Linked DNA regions of Drosophila melanogaster. The gene in region 4 interacts genetically with the main gene of each other region. Each region holds a gene or a part of one and is shown on either strand. Other genes may lie near its edges.

Evidence for each region.
Region 1: of hop (region 4) and CycE, changing one suppresses a phenotype caused by changing the other (phenotypic suppression), as found in Drosophila melanogaster (2 studies listed by BioGRID).
Region 2: of hop (region 4) and Ser, changing one suppresses a phenotype caused by changing the other (phenotypic suppression), as found in Drosophila melanogaster (one study listed by BioGRID).
Region 3: of hop (region 4) and Delta, changing one suppresses a phenotype caused by changing the other (phenotypic suppression), as found in Drosophila melanogaster (one study listed by BioGRID).

Annotation. Positions count from the first base shown.
Region 1 is NT_033779.5:15,742,910-15,748,321, forward strand, and holds the start of CycE (cyclin E), read right to left. Parts: upstream 3,702-5,412; 5' UTR 3,575-3,701; coding exon 3,546-3,574; exon of another isoform or gene 3,348-3,545; intron 2,735-3,347; exon of another isoform or gene 2,483-2,734; intron 1-2,482. UniProt on the Drosophila melanogaster protein: Essential for the control of the cell cycle at the G1/S (start) transition. Targeted by archipelago for degradation by the SFC ubiquitin ligase complex.
Region 2 is NT_033777.3:27,191,050-27,196,450, forward strand, and holds the start of Ser (serrate), read right to left. Parts: upstream 3,219-5,401; 5' UTR 2,895-3,218; intron 1,076-2,894; 5' UTR 694-1,075; coding exon 457-693; intron 1-456.
Region 3 is NT_033777.3:19,322,517-19,327,919, reverse strand, and holds the start of Delta (delta), read left to right. Parts: upstream 1-1,702; 5' UTR 1,703-2,381; coding exon 2,382-2,438; intron 2,439-5,403. UniProt on the Drosophila melanogaster protein: Acts as a ligand for Notch (N) receptor. Essential for proper differentiation of ectoderm. Delta is required for the correct separation of neural and epidermal cell lineages.
Region 4 is NC_004354.4:11,361,885-11,370,281, reverse strand, and holds the start of hop (hopscotch), read left to right. Parts: upstream 1-2,183; 5' UTR 2,184-2,819; coding exon 2,820-3,881; intron 3,882-4,151; coding exon 4,152-4,312; intron 4,313-5,042; coding exon 5,043-5,249; intron 5,250-5,478; coding exon 5,479-5,798; intron 5,799-5,858; coding exon 5,859-6,321; intron 6,322-6,435; coding exon 6,436-6,785; intron 6,786-6,853; coding exon 6,854-7,290; intron 7,291-7,795; coding exon 7,796-7,974; intron 7,975-8,046; coding exon 8,047-8,211; intron 8,212-8,277; coding exon 8,278-8,397. Other genes in the region: Tim8, read right to left, coding at 1,402-1,578, 1,657-1,746. UniProt on the Drosophila melanogaster protein: Tyrosine kinase of the non-receptor type, phosphorylates the marelle protein. Required maternally for the establishment of the normal array of embryonic segments: involved in the control of pair-rule gene transcription in a stripe-specific manner.

The DNA.
Region 1 (5,412 bases), on a different chromosome or scaffold from region 4:
AGAAGGCTGCGAGTTCGGGCGAAATCCGCGGCGACAGGTATACAAATATGAATAATGCCGCGGATCGAGCGGATAAACTCGGGGGTTTCCTTTGCGCACAGCGCCTAATTAAAGGTGTACGATGCATGAGTGAATCTGTTTACCTGGACGGGGTCCTTCAAGGTCATTTAACTGGAAAACCGAGTGTCGAAAATAAAGTCGACCGTATTTTTTTCCCTCATCTTCGGAATATTTGCTTTGTGCGGAAGATTTCCCACAAGGAAATGGGACCAAGTCTCGAGATACAATATGAAATGCAACTTGAGGCAATGCAAAGAAGAATGCGCAAAATGCGCAAAGAAGAGCGCAAAAAAAATTATATACAAATATGTATGTATCTCGAGTATATGCCAGACTATATACATATGTACATATGTAGAGGGAAAACAGGTCTCGAGTTATCCGGCGTCTTCAACTGTCTGGGCCTGCAATTTTTGTGCGTCCTTTTTGGGCTGCATTTTGGGCTCCTCTGCACATGCGGCGAGATACATTCCTGAGATACTCGAGATAAAAATGCACATGCATCTGGGCATTTGTGGCGTTGTCCATGCCAATGCCGCCTCCTCTCCATTGTTGTGGTTTGGCCACCACTCTTGCAATTAGTTGGAACTCGGTGGACCGAAAGTCTGCAGGAGTTGTGTAACAACATAGCTACATAATGCTGATAGGGTAAGAGGGTGAAGTTCATTAGGAAGATATTTTCTCAAATCGAAAGCCTAATCATATTTGCATAATATGAAACTATAAATAATACTACTAAAAGTTTAAACCAATACACGAAGATTGCTTTATAAGCATCATTGAATTGAACCCGATCTTTGATGCTTCCTTTTCATACTCATGAATGCGTTTAAATTCTAATGGTCAATTGGCCCAAGTTTGCTGTGTTGCTTCAGTCGCATATGCCCACCCTACCCAGAACTACAGGGTACTGCAAACGAGAACAGGAAAGTCGATCCTCGCCTGCGCGCATCAGTGTATCTGTGAGTCCGAGTATCTGAGTATCTGTGTGCCGGGTATCTAAAGAGCGCCGCCTGGGCAAAACGGCGTGTGAAAGTAAAGTCGGCCCAGCCGATGGAGGAGAACAAATCAAAGTTCTTGAATGGAGCGGCAGCGGCGGCGATGGCGACGGCGGCGTTCCAGTTCCAAGAATCGATGGCCTTGAAGTAGCCGTTAGGACATCGGGACGCGCTCAATTGACTATTTAGTTTATATTTAGCAGCGTCTAAAAGGATGCCCACAGCGAGTCAGCTAGCTCAAGTGGCCTGCGTCCTGTCTCTTCCCCGCTCCACAAATCGCCAGTCGGACGGACTATCCTTTGTTTGTCTGGGAATAACTGGAAACTGTTTATCATTGTTGTTTCTGCTCCTCATACATACGGCTTCACCTCATTCCGATTCCGAATCGGATTCTTCTGCCGCAGCGACAAAAATGTGTATGGACTATAAAAAAAAAATGCCCACATATACATACATATGTACATATGAACCATTTATTTAAGGAGTTACTATTCACAACTCATCCTTTTGGAGAACATGTAATATTTGTAAAACATTCCGCACTTGTAATTGAGAAATATTGTTGGTATTTTACTAGGAATTCGGGTTAATATGGCCAGTTGATATGTGTGGATTCCTATAACCATTTACGTATGTATGTACATATGATGAGAAAATATTCGAGATCAGTTTGGGTTCCCATCTCGTCTAGAAAATCCTTTGATGACATACCGCTTTCGAAGGTGGCAAGCACTTGGAGGATCATGAGCAGAATTGAAAGGTGTTGACTAGGATTTGAATAGATCATATAAGGAGTGTTTAGGTGGGTCAAACAAAAGAAAATGTTGGGAAAATATACAAAATTCACGACACTGAATCATCAAAAACTTGATGCTCTTACTTTTTTCAAAATCACTTCTAAGAAAAACAATTTATTTCCCCATGGTTTAAACTGGCCAAATCTAAACATAAGCGGCTGATTTTCGGCACGATCATGACATAATCGAAAAATTAAGTATACAAAAATCCACCCCATCAACAATACACCACCCACCCCCCACGCACACCCCCGCCGCGATCGCTCCAAAAGTTTAACGGCGCAAAAAGCGAACACGCAAACTAAAAAACGTCAAAAGAATGCAAAAAATAAAGAAGAAAGCAAAAATTGCGAAGAAAACAACAACAAAATGAATGTGGCAGGTAAATGGAAGCAGAGGAGAAGAGGAAAGAACGAAGATGGCGCGAAGCAAGGTGGAGACGAAGGGGAAGCGAAAGCAAAACGCCGAGAAATATCAATGAACTCCATTCTCCACTTGGCAGTCTATCTCGCTCACTCATTGGTTGGGAGCACGTACATAGAGTAACTACTCACAAAAATAAATATAACCACGATTTTACAATAATTAAAATACTATTATTAATTCTACATATGTAAACATACATACATATGTATGTACGTAGATTGTGGGTAAGGGCTAAATGCCACTACCAATCTTTTTCTTCGTGTACCAAAGATATTTGCGCCACTTTTGACATAATTCATTATTTTGTTCTTCACTCGTTTACTCCATTTTGCTTTGAACCTCTGCTTCGTGTTCGTCAAGTTTTCGAAAGGTCCGTCGACTGATCGGCGATTTTCCGAATTTTTTCGACGTCGCAGTCAAATGCTCTCTTTTTTTCCGTTTTAGAGCGCAGTACTAAAACGTTTTTGTTTGTTGTTGGTGTTGGGAAGGGGAAAATAACTTGACTCGCTGTTCTGATTGGAATAAAACGGAAGAGAGCGAGAGAAAGAGAGCTTACTCTCTCTCTTAGCGAGCGCATTTCTTCCAAGTTTGTGCTTGTGTGTGTGTCATTGGAGGAAGCGTATAAAAATGAAATGAGCATGGGAAAAGAATGGAGAAACGCAAAGTGGCGCGAATTAGGCGTTTGGGCTGGGGCAGTTTTGTTTTACCGCCCAAAATCTATGCGAATGGCGGGAAAAAGTGCAATTCGGGCGGGAGAAAGATTAGAAAGTTGGCCCAAACAGCAGGGTAAACCATAAGCTGCATCTCAAGCCTTCTATAGTAAGAAAAGCTGTAATAGTTCACTGAACTCCCGTTACGCATTAGAAACTCAGTGCACTTTTAGACGTGATTAGAAGCTTTCATTTATTTCATAGGATTTTCCAATTTGTTCCCATTGGATAACGGTTTAATTCTAATAGGACACTTTTCCTTATAGGGGGAACACTAAAACACTGTGTGGGGGAGACAATTTGTAGTTGGACACCCCGTCTCTTGCCAATCAGAAAGCAACGGTTAAATCCTACAGCGTGTCAATTTTCTTATAAGAGGATGTTGTATTTGTAGCAAAAAATGCAAAGACACGACGGCAAACGCAGCATTCTCTCCCGCTCTTTCCTTCACTGTTCCACACACACTTGTCACCGCACACGCGTCATAAATTTTATTCCACTCTGAATAACGTATTGCCTTTTATCCACTAAAACCATTGTGCAATTGGTTTTACCTTCTAGTAAGCGGAAAAATGCTTAACATAATATCCCCGGTGTTTTCACTTGTTTTTCTTAAAGGGAATTGAACAACGTTTTTCGAGAGTTTTTCGTCGTCGTCGTCGCCGGCCACGAAAAAACTTCACGAGCAGCGGAGCGGCGGCAGCAAAGTGATCGCTTTGGAACCGAAAAAAAAATTGGTGGAACTGGGTATCAAAAGCAGCGACGTCGACTGCGGCGAGTGTGCATGAGGAACGCGCCAAAACAGGCGGATCCGAAGCGCCAAAAAATGCAACAAACACAGGGGGCAACTTTGTTGTACTCTAGGGGAGGGACGGAGATGGGGCGAGCATCTCCAGCGCAAAGAACAGAGCGTGAGAAAGCGAGACGGGGCGATGAAGCCGCTGGTGGCAAGCTTGGCATTTTATTGAATGGAGTCTGCAATTGGAGTCCCCAGTCCCCAACAGGCTAGTCAGACTACAATTGGAGGTTCGACGTCCAGTCAGCTGGGTGGTCGAAAAACAGCTGACGAGGATGCCAGAAGGGCGGATTTAGTCGGATATATCGTGGTTATATATAAATACCTAAGATTTATTTCTATGTCATATGCCAATTTTAATTCAAATATGACCTTCAGAAAATAAATATTTAAATTTTAATATGAAACTATTTTTTTTAATATATTTTTAAAGCGCTCCAAAATCAATTCAAGGTTAAAATAAATTTATCTTGAAGGGTATTCATAAATCTTTAAAATTTTAATTATTTATTTATTCTTCAGAAGCCTGAAATTACATGGTTTAATATGCTTTTCTAGTAGTTTTTATGAACTGCAGCCAAATAACATATGACAAGATGACTGAGGTCGAACTAGGTGGTAACGCTGCTTTGAAACCAAACAAACCACTGCCACTTTGTTGTTTTCATCGATTAACATTCGAGCATTTTTGGCACCAACTTCGAGCGCTTATAAATCAGGTAAGCTAAATGAAAAACCATGCGTGCCTATAACCAATTGAAAGATCAAAACTCGCAGAATCTGATTTTTCACTAAAATCGAAAATCCCGTTCAATTCGGCCAAATTAGAATCGATTGAACTTGATGATTTCCCGCGCGCGGGAACCCGACGTCGGCGCGCGCTGCTGACAGCGATGACAGCTGCGCGCGCAAAGAGAAGGCGCGGAAGAGAGCGCGAGAGGGGCAGGGGAACAGAGAGAGAAAGAGGCAAAAACGTCGACGTCGCTGCTCACGTTTTTTTTCCATTACTTTTCGACTGCTACAATATCGATGGAGAAAACGGGGTCTAAAGGAAATGGCTTAAAAAGCAAGTTCACGAACTTTTGAACCCTGCACCTGCTGCAAATCGAATGGGCCAATTGGCCGGCATCACTCACCTGCTGTTGGGCAGGATTCGGGCAAATTCTCAGCGGGATTGCACACTGAAAAACACACGCGGACTGGAATGGTGATGAAAAAAATTGCACACACCGCCGCACACATACACACGCACGCCAGCCAGCAAGACAGTATAGCCTCCTTTTTGTCACCTTTTTCGACAGATTTATCGTGGTTCTGCGGTCTTTTTCACGGCTAGCTCAACCCCACGGCAGTCAAGGCCAATTCGATGCGATCCCCGCGATTTTTCAGCGACTCCAAAGTAACACAATGATCGCAAGTGGCACTGTGACGAGATCGAAATCGAGAGAGCGATGAAAGAGCAAAAAAAAAGGCCATAATCATCTGGCCACACGGCGCAAAGAGAGAGTCGGAGTTTAGTGGCAGCGGCGTTGCCACTACGGCCGATCGCGTTGCGGGATTTTTATTGGCGCGTTATTCAAATTTTGAAAAATAACTTCTATGTTAGCCTGACTTTTACTGCTCTG
Region 2 (5,401 bases), on a different chromosome or scaffold from region 4:
ATTTGTTGATATTTTAAAACGTAATGGATACATTAATTGAACAGGGAAAATATATCCTCTATTTTAATCTCAGCATTTTCAATCTTATTAAATAACTTAAGACTGTAAATGATTTCTGTTTTTTTAACGCGTTCTACGAATCTTGTTTATTGACATATGCTTGATTTACTGCTTTGAGAAAATTCCAGCGTAAGAGCTCTCATTAAAGACAGCTCTTCGGGATGCGGAGTTGATAAATCACTCAAAAAAATAAACCCAAAAATCATCATTATTTACGTCCCCCATCAAAACTTTGCCCTCAGCCATTGCCAATTCGCATGGGTTGAATCAACTTTGTCTGTTTTCTTTTGGCCTTTTTGACGAGACACTACACCCGCATGTATTTGGATCTGGGGCTTTTTGCGATTATTGCTTTGGGGATTCGATCGTTTTTTGCATGTTGGTTGGTTTGCTTACCTTATGGACTAACAGTATTAAAATTAAAGCAATTAAGTTGCAGGCAGACTTTAATGATCGACAATCGCGGATCGTCGATGGCAGGGTCGCGATTTTGGGTACCCGATGCCTCGGACGCTGCCTTTTTGTCGCCGTCTTCTTGGACATTCCCAGGCTGTCTGCTGATTCTATTGTTGACTCCAACGACGACGACGTAGCTGGTTTTCGCCGAAAATGTTTCCTAAACATTTTGTACATTCTGGGGGCGTTTGCGAGCGTGATGCTGGTTGGCGATCTAGATGGAGTTTGTTTCGGATTCACTCTGGATTGGCACCACACAAATGTAAATTCGCTGGGCAGCCTTAATTAGCCCATGTATGCAGATTTTGGTGCCTTTGTTTGTTTCTATTTTGCCACACTACACTTGCTCTGGATAGCTGAATAACTGGCCGTACTCTGGATGCTGTATCATTTTCTCCACTTTGCCTTCGTTTTGTTTGGTTTTGTTTGGATAATGTTGTTATCACACACAATTATTATTTATTATTTATATGGACCTTAGTATGTGCTTCTCTCGTTTTTGTTTTGTTCACACTTGACACTTCCACTTGATAGGCGCTGATGTTTTGTAGATCTTTAGCTGTAACAATTGTCGAACGAATTGGAATTGAAACGGGCTGCGCAAAATCTATTTCACTGTGCATCATCAACGCTAATTGACACGCAGATGATGCTGCTGCTGCTGCAGTTGCAGTTGCAGTAGCGGCAACCGCAGCAAGCCGCAACAAGTGCCACCAGCCACCGCAGCAACATTTACTTTTGCCAGACCGCAAAAAGCGGCAACGTGCAGCAAATGCAAATGCAATTCAATTTATGTTAATTTAACGCTGTTACTGCCGCTGCTGATGTGGCTGCTTCTGCAGTTGCTGCTGCTGCGACTATGGAGCCGTGTCTTTGGCCACAAACAATTTGCATCTTGTGCGCATATTAATTTACAGATATTTTCACTCTTGCTCACATTACTCATTCTTCCCACCCTGCCGCTGCTTTTGCCATTCCGGCCATCCTATCCTCCCATGGCCTTTAGCCCCCCAGCCCGCCCCGGTTCCTCCTGCTCGGGTGTTAATTGTCCATTTAATTAAGTAATTTGCTTGGGGCCTCCTCCCGGCTTTGGCACGGAACGGAAGTCGTTGACTTTGAATCGAAACCCAGATGCTGCCGCTCTTGCTCATGCTGCTGCTGCTGCTGCCGCTGATGTGGATGTTGCTGCTGCTGCAGGGCATGACCGGAAGTGGCTTTTGCAAGTGGATGATGCAGCTACCTCCCCCTTAATACCCCCTAATACCGCTACTTTCACTCTTCTCTCTTGGCAATTTGCAAAACGATGAATGAACTTCTAGCGGCCTCAAAACTTTAGTATACCGTGTATCCATTTCTATTTCTAGTAACTTCTGGATATACTCTGATTTATCAAATAATTGTGCAACCAGATCACCGTCTTGAACTTAACGATCTGAATAAGCTTTGGACCGTGCTAGATCCGTTATTCGTTGCATATGGTAAATCATTGAGCAGTGCATCGAGCATTTTCCGCGCTCTCTTGATCAGGGGCTTTCCCATGCTCGTACCACCCATTCAGAACCAAACTGATTTCACAATCTCTCTTTTCTCCCGGTGCACAGAAGAAAACTACACTACTTCATCTATACGGAAAGTTCTTTAACTTTCTAATAAAACATTTGTTATTCAATTCAAAATTCTTTAAATTTAGAAAAAAAAATCCGTGTTAAGCATCGCTTTTAGAAAGTCAAATACTTTCAATAGGTTGTTTGGGAATCCCACTTATTAAGTTCTAGTGGAAATTTCTCTATGTGCGCCCATTATTATTATTATTTGTATTATCTGCGTGCATTATGAACTAGTCGGATGTTTTCATTCTTTCTCCCTTTCACTTGGCATGTTTCAATTCCACTTCGTAGTTGTAGCTTCGTGTGTTTGTGTCCCTGTTTTGCGTCCCTGTGTGCGTTATCAATGGAGCACACTGTGGCCAGCGATTCCCCCGGAATGGGGCACTCGTTTTCGCATATTCACATTGTTTGCACTTTTACTTTTCGCCTTTGATTAAACACAATTTTGACGGCATTGTATTTTGATATATTAATGTATTGTATTTAATTGAAAGGTATTTCCGTTTTCCTTAGCTCACACGATCTGGGCTCAGAAATTAATCACACACTATGGAAACACACACATAGCAAAATGTCGGCTGATTGTCGATCTTTCGATTTGCTTTTCTTCCACCGAGCATTTGTAGTTGATTGCTCTTCATCATTTGTTGTAATCAGCAAGCAATTTAATTCGATTGCGGCACATTAAACACTTTCACAATTGTTATATGGATGATGGTCGGTGGCGTTCAGTTTGGGTGCACAATAATCCAATTCGAGGAGGGGTTTTACCGTTGACAGAAAAGGGGCTCATCACCGCTCGAAGCACGGCGCTCGACTAAACGCGTTAACCGAATCCTGCGGCATTTCCAGCCCTCGAGCAGCATCCATTCACGGGGCGGAGCAAGTCACGCGAGAGAGCTGCGGTTTTGGTGGTGGTAAAGGTGGTGAGGTGAGCTGTCGCTGCTGCTGCTGGTGGTGGTGGTGGTGGTGGTGATCTGCAGTCTTAAGAGAACTGTGGCTCGGTCTGAACCACCGAAACCGCTTTCAAAATAAACTGGCGACGACTTCCGCTGAGTGCTGCGTGCGCTTCAGGCTTCGACTAACGACTGATTGCCTCTGGGCACAAGTTGCCGTCGATCCCGAGAGCTTAACTCGCAGCGATTCTCTCTGTGCTTCTCTTTGAAGAAAACCAGTTTGCTCTTCGTGCAGTGCTCTTTAGCCAGCCGCTGATTGGTCGTACGACTGTATATAGCCCCGGGGCCCGGAATCTGAATCAGAATCGGCAGTTAATGGAGTTGCTGCCGCTTCGGCTGCTGCACGCATGCGCGCCCGAGGCTCTCGGCTGCCGTTTTTTACGATTCCAACTTAATTATGCCAATAAGTGCATTCTGGGGCTGTGTGTGTATGTGTGTGTGTGCTCCAGATCTAGTAGCTCCAAGGGACTGGCAATTAACACCTAATATGAAGGAACGCTCCCACAATCTTTAACGGCTGGGAACCAAATCGAAAGATACTAGCATCGGCCAATTATTAACCACACAGACAGAGCGGCGACTTCCATCCAATTATCTGCTGGCCAAAAGTGTATAAATCAAATTTAAATGCAACTGGCCTATCAGTGCAGCCAAAACAAAAGACTTAAGCAACAAACTTGGCAATTACATGCGGCCAACAAGACAGGCGGCAGCATCTTTGTTGTTGCTGCTGCCTACCTTACTGTTGTTGTTAGCGGCTCATATTTCTTGAGGCGCATATCTAAATATCGAATCATGTTGCTGATTTTCCATTGTCTGCCCACCACAGCAACAACAGCAGCAGCAACAACTGCTGCTGCCTCAACAACTGCAACAACACATAGTAAATCTCATTGTGCCGTTGTGACATGACTCTTGTTCGACAATAGATAAAACAAATTGACTTGGTGTGTGCCCAAAATGTCTTCTCTAGCCGTCTCCCTGGCCATTTGGGTCTCCATCCTCCTCTATTTGGTGGGCGTACTGGGCAGCGGTCTCCCAGCTCCTTTGTCATCTTTTCTCGCTTAAAAAAAAAGAAGAAAAAAAAAACAGAAGAAATGGAAGAAAAACTGCACTACAATGCCCATTATCAGCTTACATATCTGCGACAAGAGACCCCAGAGCGGCAATTGTACGGGCCACCGAGACGGCAACGGCAAAGGCAACTGCCAGCGGCAATGGCAACGGCTTCGTTGTCCAAATATGTTGCAAGTTGGTGTTATTCTTCACACGGCATCATAAATTTCACGTATAATTGACGCTTTCAGTTATATCAAAATTGGCTAAAAGGCGACGACCAGCTTTGCGTTGGTGGCCAGCAGACTACAGCCTTCAGCCATCAGCCTCCAGAGACTTCGAGCTGGTGCTCCCCAGAGATATTATTTTTGCTCACTGTGGCTTACATTGTTTTCGTTTTGATTTCAACTAATAGCAGACAACGACTTACAGGTGTCTTTGTGCGCGTCTCTCATAATTTGGGGGCACTCTGTGTTGGCGGCTTGTTGGACACTTGTTCGGGTTTGATGGCATTTCTTTTTTGGGATTAGCTTTCGTTTTCCGGCCAAGTGTTTTTGTGTTTTTTGGTTTTACTGTCACATGTAACAGCTGCAAAAGTGGACCAGAGCGGTGGCATAAATCCATAAAATCAAACATATTGAGTAATCAAAATGTTAAACCCACCCTCTTGACAAAGGTTCACCCCCTCAAACCAAAAAAACCCTCGTTGGGCGAGTTCATTAAACAAACAGGCAAATATGTTGGCAATTTCAACCAGTTGGTTTTACACCACTCAACATTTTATGACAGATTTTTCAAGTGTTTTTTCCGCCTCCTCGTTTTTCTTTTTTAATTTTTCACTCCTCCTGCTGCCGTTGTGGTGGCTGTTTGCGGTTAGTGGTTTCTGGTGGTTTAGTGGTTGCCACATAGTGGCCGCCCTTCGTCCGGAGAATCATTGCCTTAGGTTAGTTGTTTACGAAGGCTTTTATTGGCACACAGCCGGGTCAGGAGATTTATGGGCAATATTTTTAGCGTAAAGTTACGGACACTTCAGAGAATACTCGAGCCAAAGAAATTGGAAAAAGAATGGGAATTGGAACTGAGCTCAAAGGGGGCAGCACTTTTCCCGAAAACCATTGCGGTATTTACTTTAAAGATCTGTGAGTGTTAGCTAATAGTATTTCACACTGTTTAGCTAAATGGTGTATAAACTACAAATTCTATACAAAAGAGGGGTCGCTGAACTTAAGGAAAATAATCTGATCTTATTAATTTAAATGGTTATTG
Region 3 (5,403 bases), on a different chromosome or scaffold from region 4:
CAGACCATTTCAATGAACTGCTGTTTTCGAGTGATTTACAATGTTTGATCAAAAAATCGAATCAAATTAATCTTGCTCTTTTCGTTAAGTAATTGGATCAATTTTTAACGAAAGTTTGGATCCAGAGACCACCGAAGAATCTAATGATTTGTTAGGAATAATAATAAAATAAATAGGTGTACAGACTTAGCATTTTTACCTTAAGATTTTTACAGAATAGAATGGAAGTACAAATTGGAAAATCAGGCCAGCTATTTAAAATTGTAAAGCCAAAATGAAATCGTAGTAGGCGAACACATCATATTCAATCTATTTTCATAAAAATATTTAGTTTAGCTCGATTCGGCATCGTCGGCAGTCCTATATCAACTAGAAAATATTTGGATTCAAAAAAAAAATTTTATTTTTATTTTTTTTAATATTCGTTGAAAATAAATGCAAGTATTAAAAATTATTACTATTACACAAAATGCTTAGAACAAAATTTATTGATTTTGAAATATTGTTTGGTTATATAGTTATTTATCGTTTATTTCAATAGAGATTCTAGTTCATTTGGTTATTGTGGAGCAAACATATGCAACGCAGTGAAGATGTTATCACAAGATGGTATTTCCGAGCCAATGGATCTTTGAGGCAGAGGCTTGTAAATATTTGTACATTCTGATCATATTTAATGAGATTCCAAACCTTTAGCTAGATGGTATCTTCAGCAATTTCCACCGAGCAGCTTGGACAATTAATATGTAGTTTATGGATCCTCTTTCAATGAATTTAGTATGCCCAAACTCGAAGGAGTTTCACCTCCATAAGAGCGACAGTCCTGGAGAAGTTATCAGAGCCAAAAAAATTCATATGATGATGCATTTTCCGTCTCTGAAAACGTCTTCAGCAGAAGTTGTTTTTAGCGAAGTGAAACTCATTCGATTTTGATCATACTAACGACATTGGATGCTTGGATCGGCAGTTTGGTGGAATATAAATACCAAGACCCTAAGACTGATGACGTACCTGCTAATGAAGATGATGGAGATATACTTGCATGCCAATTCAATAAGTTATAAGCACCCAATATAATAAAATTCAAATATTTATATTAAATACAAATATCCATCTTTAATTTTATTTTTGGTTCTCATCTTGGCAACAATAAATGTTGCTAAGCATTTTGCTTTCAACTTTCGCGTGAGCTGAATCGGTAAATTGAGCGAACCGGGAATCAAATGTTGCTAACGAAATGCTTACAAGCCGGTATCCAACTGGTATCTGAAACTGCTAGCAAAACGGGGAATCAAATGTTGCTAACGTAAACGAATTGAATTGATTTGTTTTATTTTAGATATAAAAATAAAAGTAGAATATCTAGAAATAAAAAATCCGAATTTTGAAGATTATTTAGAGACAATCTTGGAAATTTGTACAAATAAACACCCGTCCGGTTGAAGTTAAACAATATAATAAATTCTTATATCAAAATAAACTTGGTAATGTATATTGAAATTTTAAATAGTTTTTAAAATGTGTAAGTTGACTATTTATTCAAAACGGTTTGTTGCATTGCATCTGCTGAAATGCACTAATTTTGCCACGGAACTCGTTTTGAGAGCGAAAGAGAGAAATGAGAGAGCGAGTACGTTTCGTGGTATTTTTTAGTACGATTCGCGGCGGTGAAGGTGAATAGTGTTTTGGTCGTGGACATGAACGGCATTACGTTTTTCAACTCGGCCGCGCGAATAACTCGAAAAAGGCAGCTCCGCAGCCAAGGCATTTTGAAAAACACAAGTCCCCGACTCGAAACGCGACCAAATATTCGGTGTGTGACGCGAACTGCCAATGCAATAGTTCACTTAAGAATTGCAGATTACCGCGACTCTGGGCAGTTCTCATTCGATATTTGAATGTACCAAAAGAAAAGTGCCAGAACCAGAAATCAAAATAAAAGATCTTCTAACAGAATAACAAGAAGTGTTTCCTCCGAAAGATTAAAAAATCGCGAATGATTAAGAATCGCGGCACCGTTAGTTCCCTCTCTCGCTTTTCCCTTTTGCGCTTTTCTGCGTGAAAAGGAGAAGACTCCGCAGTTCGCGAAAAGAGCTTTTATTTCGCGACACTTAAAAATAAACACAGTCGAGGAAATTGCAACAAAAAATGTGGCGCGTGCACGTGTAGCTTGCAACAACGACAACAAGAAAACAACGAAAATGCTAAAAGCGAATTGCAAAACCATGTGCGACAAGTAACCAAAAAAAAAATTCAAAACATAAACACAATAAACAATTTGAGTAGTTGCCGCACACACACACACACACACACAGCCCGTGGATTATTACACTAAAAGCGACACTCAATCCAAAAAATCAGCAACAAAAACATCAATAAACATGCATTGGATTAAATGTTTATTAACAGCATTCATTTGCTTCACAGTCATCGTGCAGGTGAGTTTCAGTCCCAGGAAAAGCGCTCATTTTCCATCCAACAAGTTGTATTTTTTGGCAATTTATTTTCTTTATTTCTACGCGCACGCGTGCACTCACCGCTGAATTTTGCAGCTGGTGTGTTGTGCGCGCATGTGTGTGTGTGGGGCCAAAAGGGAAGAAACGATTGAAGGGTTGCCAGGTTACTAAATATTTTAAAACTTTTGGGGTTCCGTATGATCATCTCAAAATATCTATTTTGAAACCACTCCAACATCGCGTTTGCTTCCAAACTTATTTTTCAAGCTGGTAACCCGAGAACTTTTGGGTAGAAACAGCTGAGTTGATATTTTAAGCGGGTTGGCTTTTAGGGGTGGAAATTGTGGATCGGATCGTATCACCCTTTTCGGAACATGCATACATATTTCATAGAGCAAAACTAGTTTGGAAACATGCGAGGCCAATGCCCAAACAGGTCCATCCCCAAAAAATGGTTTAATTCTAGTACACAGCGGAAAAATATGAGGCATACGTTAGAAGAAATACCTTCAAGATAATTTTTGACATGCAGATCAGTTCAACTTCTTAGAAATCCTACTATGTGTACTAATTGTTCTCCGTGTAAAAACAGAGATGATCCAAGTCTGCCTCAACGTCAAAATTTACCACCAACGGCGTATGCATCCAGAGCAGCAGCAAAAAATGATAAAACTGCTCGATTTCAATATGAGGCTATATAGTAATGCTGTGCTACAAGCCCATGCTAAAAAGTTGATGATGCTGGGCAACATCTGCCGTTTTCGCCGTCATCTCCTCCTCTGTCCCTCCGCTTTGCATGCGCTTTTTACATGCGATTTTTTTCGGTTTACTTTTCGCTCTGCGTAGGTCAACGCGACACATGCTCAGCCTCACTTGCTCTCCCCTCCTTGCGTTGTTTCTCTTCTGTCATGCTTTCATTGATCTTTAACGCCAGCATCCCCTGGTTACACGGATAAAAAAAAGAGTTGTGCAGGGTTTCCAAACAGTGCGATCTCTAGAAAATAACACTAAATATTTTGTTGTTAATGTGTGGGTTAGTTTCAAAGATAAGAAAATATTAAATTATAATAAATCTTGACCATACATAGTATGTGTACATAGTATACATTTCATAGTTCAGAACTATTTAGCTACGAAGAAATTACAACTTAGATCCACAATATTAAGCTGATAGGGAGCTCTTTATTGATAATAGTACCCATTTACTCACCGTGCACCCTGCATGTGCTCCAATCCTCTACCGCTCTCCGCACTTCTTGATTTTCTCCCAACTTTGGCACGTTGCGTGCTTAAACTTCACTCTTCGACCAGCTTCTTTTTGCAGTCTGCTATTTAGTCGCTAATTTTAACAACGTCCCAAAAAAGTGTCTCGACGCCAACCTCCTGGGGTCTTGGGACTGCTGAAAATGCTCCCCGTATGTAGGCAGAAACATCTGCCCAATAATTCTGACTCATTTCCTTACTTACTTACAGGGAAAGGTGGAATAGTTTAATTTGTCATTTAAAATAATATCTCGGGCAATTAGCTTGCCATTAGCAATGCAATTTAATTCAATTTTCTGCCCATTCTATAAGGTATTATTCTCACAATTTCTTGGCCCTTTCTTGTCCCATGCTGCGTTTAAATTTCAATTTAACTATCAAATAACCGTAGTCGCCTTGTTTTCGCATTTATGCAATTTTCATATTAACATTGAGCGTCGAAGAAGTGAGTGAGTGAGCGAGTGAGTGAATGAATGAATGAATGAATGAAGACTGGGACTCGTGGGGGAGCACTCGTAGTCTTCTCGGCTCTGCTCTTTCTTCGCATAACATAATTAATTGCAATTTAGAAGCCAAAGAGGAAGACGACGACTACTCCCACACAATGCGATGGATGATTCACTTGCGCTTGTAACTGTTTCCCAAGCCCGTTGTTAACGGTTGATTATGATGATGAATTTAAATGATTAATAAACAACATGCAGGGTAGGGGCACCAAAGCAAACACCTGTAGGAAAGTCGAGGAAAAGTCGGGGAAAATTATAATAAAAATGCGTGCTTTCATACATTTTTATGTCCCCTTGTGTTGTTTTAACTTCTTCCCTGCTTTTTTTTCTACAACAACTGTCTGTCAGTCAAGGCAAGTTGACGTGGAAATGGCAAAAAATGAAAAGAAACGAAGAACTAACTAACTAGTCGCTTCAAGCCTCAGTGATCGCAGTAAAAATAGGAGTAGTGGCCAGTAAAGAGAAAGAAAACGAGAAACGGAGACAAAGAATGGCTCAAGCAAAAGGTAAACAATGCAACGCACTATTTTCTAACACTTTAACAAGTGTCTGTCTTCCATTTGAGAGGTTGGCAGCTCCAGCTTTCAAGTTCCACCTGGCGAAACCCCCTCGTAGATCCCCCCCACAAGTTTTACCTTTCGGTTATTCAGCCGCTGTGGAGTTCATAGTTGAAGGCAAAGGCAAACAAAAAGCGGAAGGAGAACCATTACCAGTGTACATATGCCAAAGTTATGAGGCGGATTGTGCAAGGTGTAACTGAGCATTCAACATTTTGGAATTACGATAAAAACAGTCGGAAAAGTTAGATCAAAGAGAAATATATTATATATTTTACGTTATTAGAACGAAAGTTATGTTTTTTAAATGCTAATTCATCATATTATCTACTACTTGTCCCTTTAAGAGCTTGCTAATACTAACCGCATACTTGGAGGGACTTTAAAACAGTGTGAGAAACTATAACCAAAATTGGTGTCAAATGGTGGACAAAACTATTGTGGTTTTAACGATTGCACTTTTTGTTTTGTTTTGCTTGTGCTTCCCACCATCTTTAGAGTGTGTGTGAATGTTTGTTTGGTGTTATGCAAATTGATTTGCTTGTTGTTTTGTCTTGCTTTTTTTGTGTTGTATATGTTGTGTCAACTTCTGCGCCTTTGTTTGTGTGTGCGCTTTTCGTT
Region 4 (8,397 bases):
TAACCCCCCTCCTCTCAGCGAATGCATAAAAAAATGGATGCTGTGAATTATGTATGCTCCACACATACACACATACACACTTATTGCAACTGCAGTGTTTTCGCACGGAAAAAAAATCAGCTGGCTGCTGTACCGTTACGCACACACATACACACACGTGCCCTTTCGGCAATTATTTGACTTTTCCTGTACTTGCTTTATATCATCATCTGTATTTACAACAACATCCCTTTCACACATGCAAGTGCAAGCAGGAGGACAACCACCACACAGAGACACAAAAAAAAACTAAAAGGTGCACCGTTAAAAAAGTTTAATGTCCCTTTTTTAGTCCTGCAGGCAAATCAAGGTAACTTTTCATGCTTCTCTTCACTTGATCCTTTTTCACGCTTTTCGCTTCTCCTTCTGAACTTCTACACTTCACAGAAACCGACACCGACTGTATATTTTGCTATGTATATTATACACGGACACACACTCACTGGCAAAAAGGACATGCGTTTGGCACAGCCTTCGGGCATTTTATGTTTAATATAAATAAGTAGCGGCAGCACGTTGGAGAATATATATTACGGTTTTCTGCTCTGCTCACGGGAACACTAGTTCTAGTTGGGATCAGTGTGACCAGAGGCGCGCTGCGTGTGCAGCCCAATCAGAAGTCCTGGGCAAACGTTCAAAGCGAGCGCGGGAAATAGGTCCGCAAGCATTGCAAGTATTACCTTTGGATTTAGCAGAAATGCATTAATATTACATTTAGTATTACATTTTATACAGGAAATGGCAGCTACATTTGTGTGTTCAAAGTTGCGTAAATATGAATTCCAATTGGAAAGTTGCCGATAGGTACTTATCGAGTGGAAGCACTATACTATCGATATGGAATAACTTTATTTATTCTAATAAACATTTAAGGAACACCTACTATTTCATTCTAAGCCCCTTTCCAGCCTAATTAAATTTAAATGTATGTTGAAATGATCCAATTTCAATTCTATTTTCCTTTCTGCATAATATTAAGCCATCTATCAACAATATTTCATCATTATAAAAGAAGAGATTAAAACTATCCAAGCAAAGGATTACAACACAATGCATTTTAAACGTACGAAACGAAAGATGTATTTATTTTCGGTACGCTAACGTAGGGCCGACCAAACAATTGAGTTGCGCTACCGAATTAAATATTAATTCCGGAACTCGAATCACGGATTTCAATTTCGGGCTGGGTGCAGACTACGGGCCACATACTTTGGATGTCGGCGGCGAAACGCAGCGCGGAAAAAAATGTGCTTACATGATAATTTTTTGTTTAAAAATAGATTTAACAGTAGGACAGTGACGGAAGCGTCCACGGACTCGGATACCCAGATCCCGGTGTCGGTGTCGATTAAGCGAACAAATCTACAGGTCGCCGCCACCTCGCTTTTGGAGCATCTGAGCGAACCGCTGGGTGATAAGCAGCGACGTGTCGATGAATCGGTCGACGCAGTTGCTCAGGCACGTCTCGGTGGCGTGGTCCAGCTTGGTACTCGGCTTGCCGATGCACTTCTCCCAGCAGATCTCGTTGAACTCGTGTATCTGGCGACGATATAATGTGCGAGGGCATATTGTTATGATTACGAATGGTTATTATGTGTATGGGGGAACCCGGCTCACCTGCGCGTTGACCTGTGCCTTCTGTTTCTCAATCAAGAGGAACTCCTGCAGCTCCTTGTCATTGCCGGAAAGGTTCTCAAAATCGGACATCGTGTGATTTTCAGTGAGCAATCTACAAATTGACCGGGCTCGTCCGGAATTTCATATATTCTAAGGTTTGAGGTTATATAAACGACACTGACAGCTGTGAACTGTGGAATTACAAAAATCGATGTGTATTCGATAGCAAAGCTATTCGATACTGGAAATGCCGTGCATATTGCACTGTTTGCACTGTTGTCATATTTAAATGGCAAGAATATAGACGCCATAGAGCAAATAACAGTATATTTTTTTTTCTTAAGCATCCTCCTCCTGCCAACGAGGGTATACAATTTTCAAGAATACATTTCTAAAGTAAGTTGTTATTTATATTTACTGAGAACTATCGAAAAAGAACTAGAACCTCGCGTTGCCAACCACTGGTTCGCAAGGTGCGATAGTACAGGTTATTGGACAATCGATGACAAAGTGGCTCGGCCGTCGGCCAATCGATATCGTGAGGTGCAAATTGTCCGATGAATTTCACTGAAATTCGTGGCTTGTATTGTAGCTTCGCAATTGCAGCTTCGTTTCGACAGCAGGCCCACTTTCAGATCGAAGGCGTCTATAATCGCCATCCAGTCCCGTCGCCCTGTTCCCACAACGCCCCACAAATTTCGGGATCTAGCTGGCGTTTCGGGTGTCTAATTTCGGACCAGTGCACTGTGATTTCCGATTTCCAGTTTACTTTGCTGACGGATCGCCCAAGTGGCGAAGTGGTTCTTGCTCGGAAAGTTGGCGCTTGCTAAAAGAAGGAGCAGTCCAGGTGGTTCCCCGCCAGTGGCATCAATGGAACTCGCGCTGGAGTTTGGGGCAACCTTGCAACTGCAAGGGTAAGAGCATCGCCGATTCCAGGAGCATTCGCAGTAAGCCCAAAAATAGCAACTCAAGTCAGTCGCGGTGGTCATTGTTATTGGCAAGAAGAAGAGGAAACGGATAGAACGCGGCAAATTCCTAGGAAAGCTCCCATGATCTAGCTTCAGTGCGGCCGCGTAAGGAAACTGCTCCAGCCAAGGAACTGGGCTTGCAGGAGCAGCAGATAGCACCCAGCCCACAAGGGACCACTCACCGACAATCCTCTCATGGCCCTGGCCAACGGGGGAGAGGATAGAATGGACGACAGCAGCAGCGGACGCACTTCGCTGGCGGACAGCGCCAGCCTGACGAACTCCTCGCTGCGCAGCGGCACCTCCTCGCAGAGCATCCACACCAACGATGGCACAATCCGTGTGTTCAACTTCACCACCGGCGAATTTGAGCGTTTCCATCCCAACATGCTGTGCGAGGAGATCTGCAATACGATGTGCCGCCAGCTGGGCATTGCACCAATTGCCCAGCTGCTCTACGGAATACGGGAGCACTCGACATCGCGACGTCCCTCGCCGCTGGTGCGTTTGGATCTGACGTGGTGCCTGCCCGGCGAGCGACTCAACTGCCAGCTGGTCTATTGCTTTCGGATGCGTTTCCGTGTGCCCGAATTGGATAGCCAGCTGGAGTTGATCGATGGACGGAGCCACAAGTTCCTCTACCGCCAAATGCGCTACGATATGCGGACCGAGCAAATCCCGGAGATTCGCTATCCGGAGCACAAGGACAAATCAACGGGACTGGCCGTGATGGATATGCTAATCGACGATCAGGAACAGTCGGAGGATCAGCAGGCGATGCGCTCCATCGAGAAGCTTTACAAACTGTATTTGCCACCGAGCTTGTGGCGCGCCCACAGCTTCTTTGTGGGCTCCAAGATACGTGAGGTTTTCCGCAGTCTAAAAGCGAATTCGCTGAGTGTGGAGCGTTTGAAGTGGCACTATGTGCATCAGGTATCCCATTTGGCGCCCACCTATATGACCGAACAGTTCACCTGCACCGTTCAGTATCTGCCCAACGAGGAGGTGGCCCGCGGTAGCGGACCCATCGGCACCAGTCTGGCCCACTCGACGTCGACGCTGGCCAGTTCTGGATCGACCAACACTCTGTCCACGCTCACCACCAACACCAATTCCGTTGCACTCGGCGGCAGTGGCAAGAAGGCCAAACGACGTTCCACCAGCGGTGGAATCGATGTCTATGTGCGAGTCTTTCCACACGATTCCCTGGAGCCTGGACTCAAGGTGGCCAGGGTCACCTCCGAGGCCACACTCAAGGTACACACTATGTTTCCTTCTGAAATCTTATATGGTTTCTTGTGGTTTTCCCATCGAAATGCGCATTTTAATGCTGGCCATTTTAAATATGGAAATACCATTAATATTATAATATTTAAAAAACATTTTGATAGATTTCTCAATTTAATTAACGCGATTGTCTTGGTAATCAAGTTGCTTATCGCTGGCAAAGATTCTTGAAATATTCATACATACATACCATATGTAATTGCACTAGCATCCCATTGATAATCCTCATTTCCTCTGCAGTGGATCCTTGTTGGCGCCGTGGAAGGAATTTTTATGATCTCCAAAATCAACGACACCTCTGTGCGGCTGGAAATCGTTGGTCTGCCCAAGGGCTACGAGATGCAGTTTCAGACGGAGAAGGAGATGAAGTCCTTCATCTCCTACCTGGGTATCTACATCAGGTGAGTGGTTCACTTGTAATCGGTGAGCTTTAGATCCCAAAGAGTTCGCTTCCAACTAAATTTTAATCTTTTAAGCCGAACTTGCTTGGTCTTTTTTTCACCAGAATTTATAGGCATCTCATTGTAGTGTTCGTGTAACAATAATCAGTGCCCAATGTTCTTAATCAAACTACTCAATTGTTTTTTTTAACATCCATTGATTTAAAAAAAAAAACATCAAGTCATCAATTCCACGAACTCATTTAATAACATAATAATTCCACTTAAAAGTTAATGATTCCCACATAAATATGACATTTGATAACACGATTAAATACAGTGCTTGAAATGCTTGCTTTTTTGTTTAAAGAGTTTGTTAAAACCAAGTCCCTGTTTGTTTTGTAATCCAACACACAAAGTCGGTTTTCGTTATCAGGCTAAAATTAAAACAAGCAAGAAATTTAAAACTAAATGCTTTCAGAAGATTTCTTCAGTTAAATTGATTAAATAATTACGCACTAATCGGTTTTAAATGTTACATTGCTATTTATATCGCCTGCGTCAATGTGCAGTACTTCTCAATAACTCAATAAAGTTATATGTACGTAATTGAAACAATTGATTCCCAGCTATAGAATCACTTTTCAAATGCAATAATAATAATAATAATAATAATAATAACAATGCCAATGGACAGCAACAAATGTGCGCAACTTATAACTCGTATTTGCCATCCGTTTATTCCTTGCAGATTGTCGAGCAAATGGATGCAGGATCTGTGCCATTCGTACCGCACGCCCTCCCTGGAGGAGCTGAGCTCCCTCCACTGCCATGGTCCAATCGGCGGTGCCTACTCGCTGATGAAGCTGCACGAGAACGGTGACAAGTGCGGCAGCTATATTGTGCGTGAATGCGATCGAGAATACAACATATACTACATCGATATCAACACCAAAATGTGAGTACATGCGCGCCTTCACACAGTTATCAGTTACTTCCTCCTCGCTGGTTATCAGGCTTACAAACATTTCTGTATGCAATGCCACATGATACACAAAAATGCTGTGTGCGCTATGTGGCCAATTGTTTCGCTTACTGATGATTGCCTGTGTGTGTGTGTGATTGATGATGCCCAAATTAGATGTGATCGGTTTTATCTCATGCGAAAATCCCGCTCACCTTTGCAGCATGGCCAAGAAAACCGATCAGGAACGCTGCAAGACGGAGACATTTAGGATCGTGCGCAAGGACTCGCAATGGAAGCTAAGCTACAACAACGGCGAGCATGTACTAAACTCACTGCACGAAGTGGCGCACATCATTCAAGCGGATAGTCCCGATCGCTATCGCATACCCGCCTCCAAATATGACAAGCCGCCGCTGCTGCTACTGCTGCTGCCAAAGAACCTCAAGGCCAAAAAGACTGACCTCCAGCTGAGCGAGGCGGAGCTGCAGCGCCGCAATCCGCAGATCTTCAATCCCCGAACGGATCTGCAGTGGTATCCAGGTGGGTCATACTATATATTCTAATGCCTTGCTTCGTTCTAATCGCTCGTCTTTTGCGCAGATTCGATATCGCTTAGCGACGATGGCATGATGTTTACGATGCGCGGCGATTGGATCCAACAGAGTCCCGTCAAGGATGTGTCCGTGACGATGAAAATGCTAAAGAGCGATGGCAATTTCATGGAGTTCTTTCGCTTGGCACAGACCTGGAGCCTCATCCAGTCGCCGCAGTTCCTCAAGCTGTACGGCCTAACGCTCGCCGATCCGTACACAATGGTCATGGAGTATTCGCGGTATGGTCCGCTCAATAAGTTCCTGCACTCGATGCCCAATGTAACACTGCATTGTCTACTGGATCTGATGCATGGATTGGTGCGCGGCATGCACTATTTGGAGGACAACAAGATTATCCACAATTACATACGATGCAGTAATCTGTACGTGACCAAGTACGATCCGAATTCGTACGTGCTAGACGCGAAAATTAGCGATCCCGGCTATCCGCGTCCCTACCGAGAATCCGAGTGAGTAGCCGACAAATACAACTTAATCATCTTCTCGGTTGGGTCATACTCTTTGATAAAACAAAAAAAAAGCAAACAGCATTTTAAATAACATCATTCATTCTCCACTTTCAGCTCGCCATGGATACCTGTTAAGTATTATCGCAATTTGCAAGCAGCCAAAACGGATCAGTTTGCCCAGCTGTGGGCCTTCGCTACCACCATATACGAGATCTTCTCGCGCTGCAAGGAAGATCTGAGCACACTGCGCCAGGAGCAGCTACTCAGGCAGAAAAATCTCGATGGCAACATACTCAAGATGCTCGATCAGGACATCTGTCCGGCGCCGATATTCGAGACAATCATGGATGGATGGTCCGATGATGAGACCAAGCGCTTCAGTCACCACGACATTTTCTCGCGTCTCAACACGATCAAGGCGGAAATTCTGCCCAATTATATGCCGCCACCCGAGATCGCAACGAGTAAGTTGAGCAGACGAAAGCAGCGTTACGAGATTGGCATACATTTCATCTTCTATTTTTTTTTCCAGATGGAACTGGAGACGAGACCGTGATCGATAGAAGCGACATACCCTTTCTACCCTTTCCGCGTTCGAATATGTTGATGGTCATACCGCTGACCAGCGAATGTCGAGTGATCTACAACATGGAGAACATGATCGGGCGCGGTCATTATGGCACTGTCTACAAGGGTCATCTGGAGTTCAACGACAAGGATCAGCCGCGCGAGCAGGTTGCCATCAAGATGCTGAACACCATGCAGGTGTCGACCGATTTTCATCGCGAGATCGGCATCATGCGCACCCTCAGTCATCCGAACATAGTCAAGTTCAAGTATTGGGCTGAGAAGTCGCACTGCATCATTATGGAATATCTGCAATCTGGTTCCTTCGACATTTACCTGCGTTTCACGGCACCCAATCTCAATAATCCACGGCTCGTCAGCTTCGCTTTAGATATTGCAAATGTGAGTGGTTCGAATATGGCTTTAGAACGGAACAAGTTTTCCGGAAAAAAGAGGGAAAACTCAAAGAAAAATCTACAAATATTTTAAGGGTTTTTGCATCATAACTTGGCCAAAAGTGGTCAAATTTCGAAGGGAATGACTGTTTTTAAAAGCTTATGATCCCAATTAACAAATCCTATTTCTTTTTTTTTGAATTTGGTGGATTCAAAATTTTTCCATTTTTTTGAATTTTTTACAAGGGGTAACATCATCAAAATTTGCAAAAAATGGCAAAAAATTAAAAGTTCCCATTTTGAACCCCAATCGATTGGGAATTAAATTACGAGCCAAACGAGGTATAACAATCCATATTTGGGCTACTACTACCCAAGATGTGGCCAAAAAACTGCCCATTTTGGACAAAAAACCACAAAAAAGAACTTTGGTATAGAAAACTCATGTTTACGACTTTAGAAGAGATATTTCCTTTTGATCCAGTACTTAATCCAAATGCTTCTCGTCGCAGGGCATGAAATACTTGTCCGACATGGGACTCATCCACCGCGACCTGGCCGCCCGCAACATTTTGGTGGACCACAACGGCGATGGTGACTGCGTCAAAATCTCAGACTTCGGCCTGGCGCAATTCGCCAATTCCGATGGATATTACTATGCGAAAAGCAAGCGTGATATTCCCATTAGATGGTAAGAAAAAAAGAAGATGGATTGACGGTAGGCCACTATCGCAACTGAATATCTTTGCTTTCCATTGGTCAGGTACTCTCCGGAGGCCATCTCCACCTGCAGATTCTCATCGTATTCGGATGTTTGGAGCTATGGCGTGACGCTCTTCGAAATGTTTTCGCGCGGCGAGGAGCCCAATTTGGTGCCGATCCAGACATCGCAGGAGGATTTCCTCAATCGCCTTCAGAGCGGCGAACGGTGAGTTATCGTGAGATTTGGGTCCATCAACTTGTTGAGTAATTCGAGTAATTCGTTTGCTTACAGCTTAAATCGTCCGGCCAGTTGTCCCGATTTCATTTACGACCTGATGCAGCTGTGCTGGCATGCCACGCCCCGTTCGCGACCCAGTTTCGCGACCATTGTGGACATCATCACAAGGGAGGT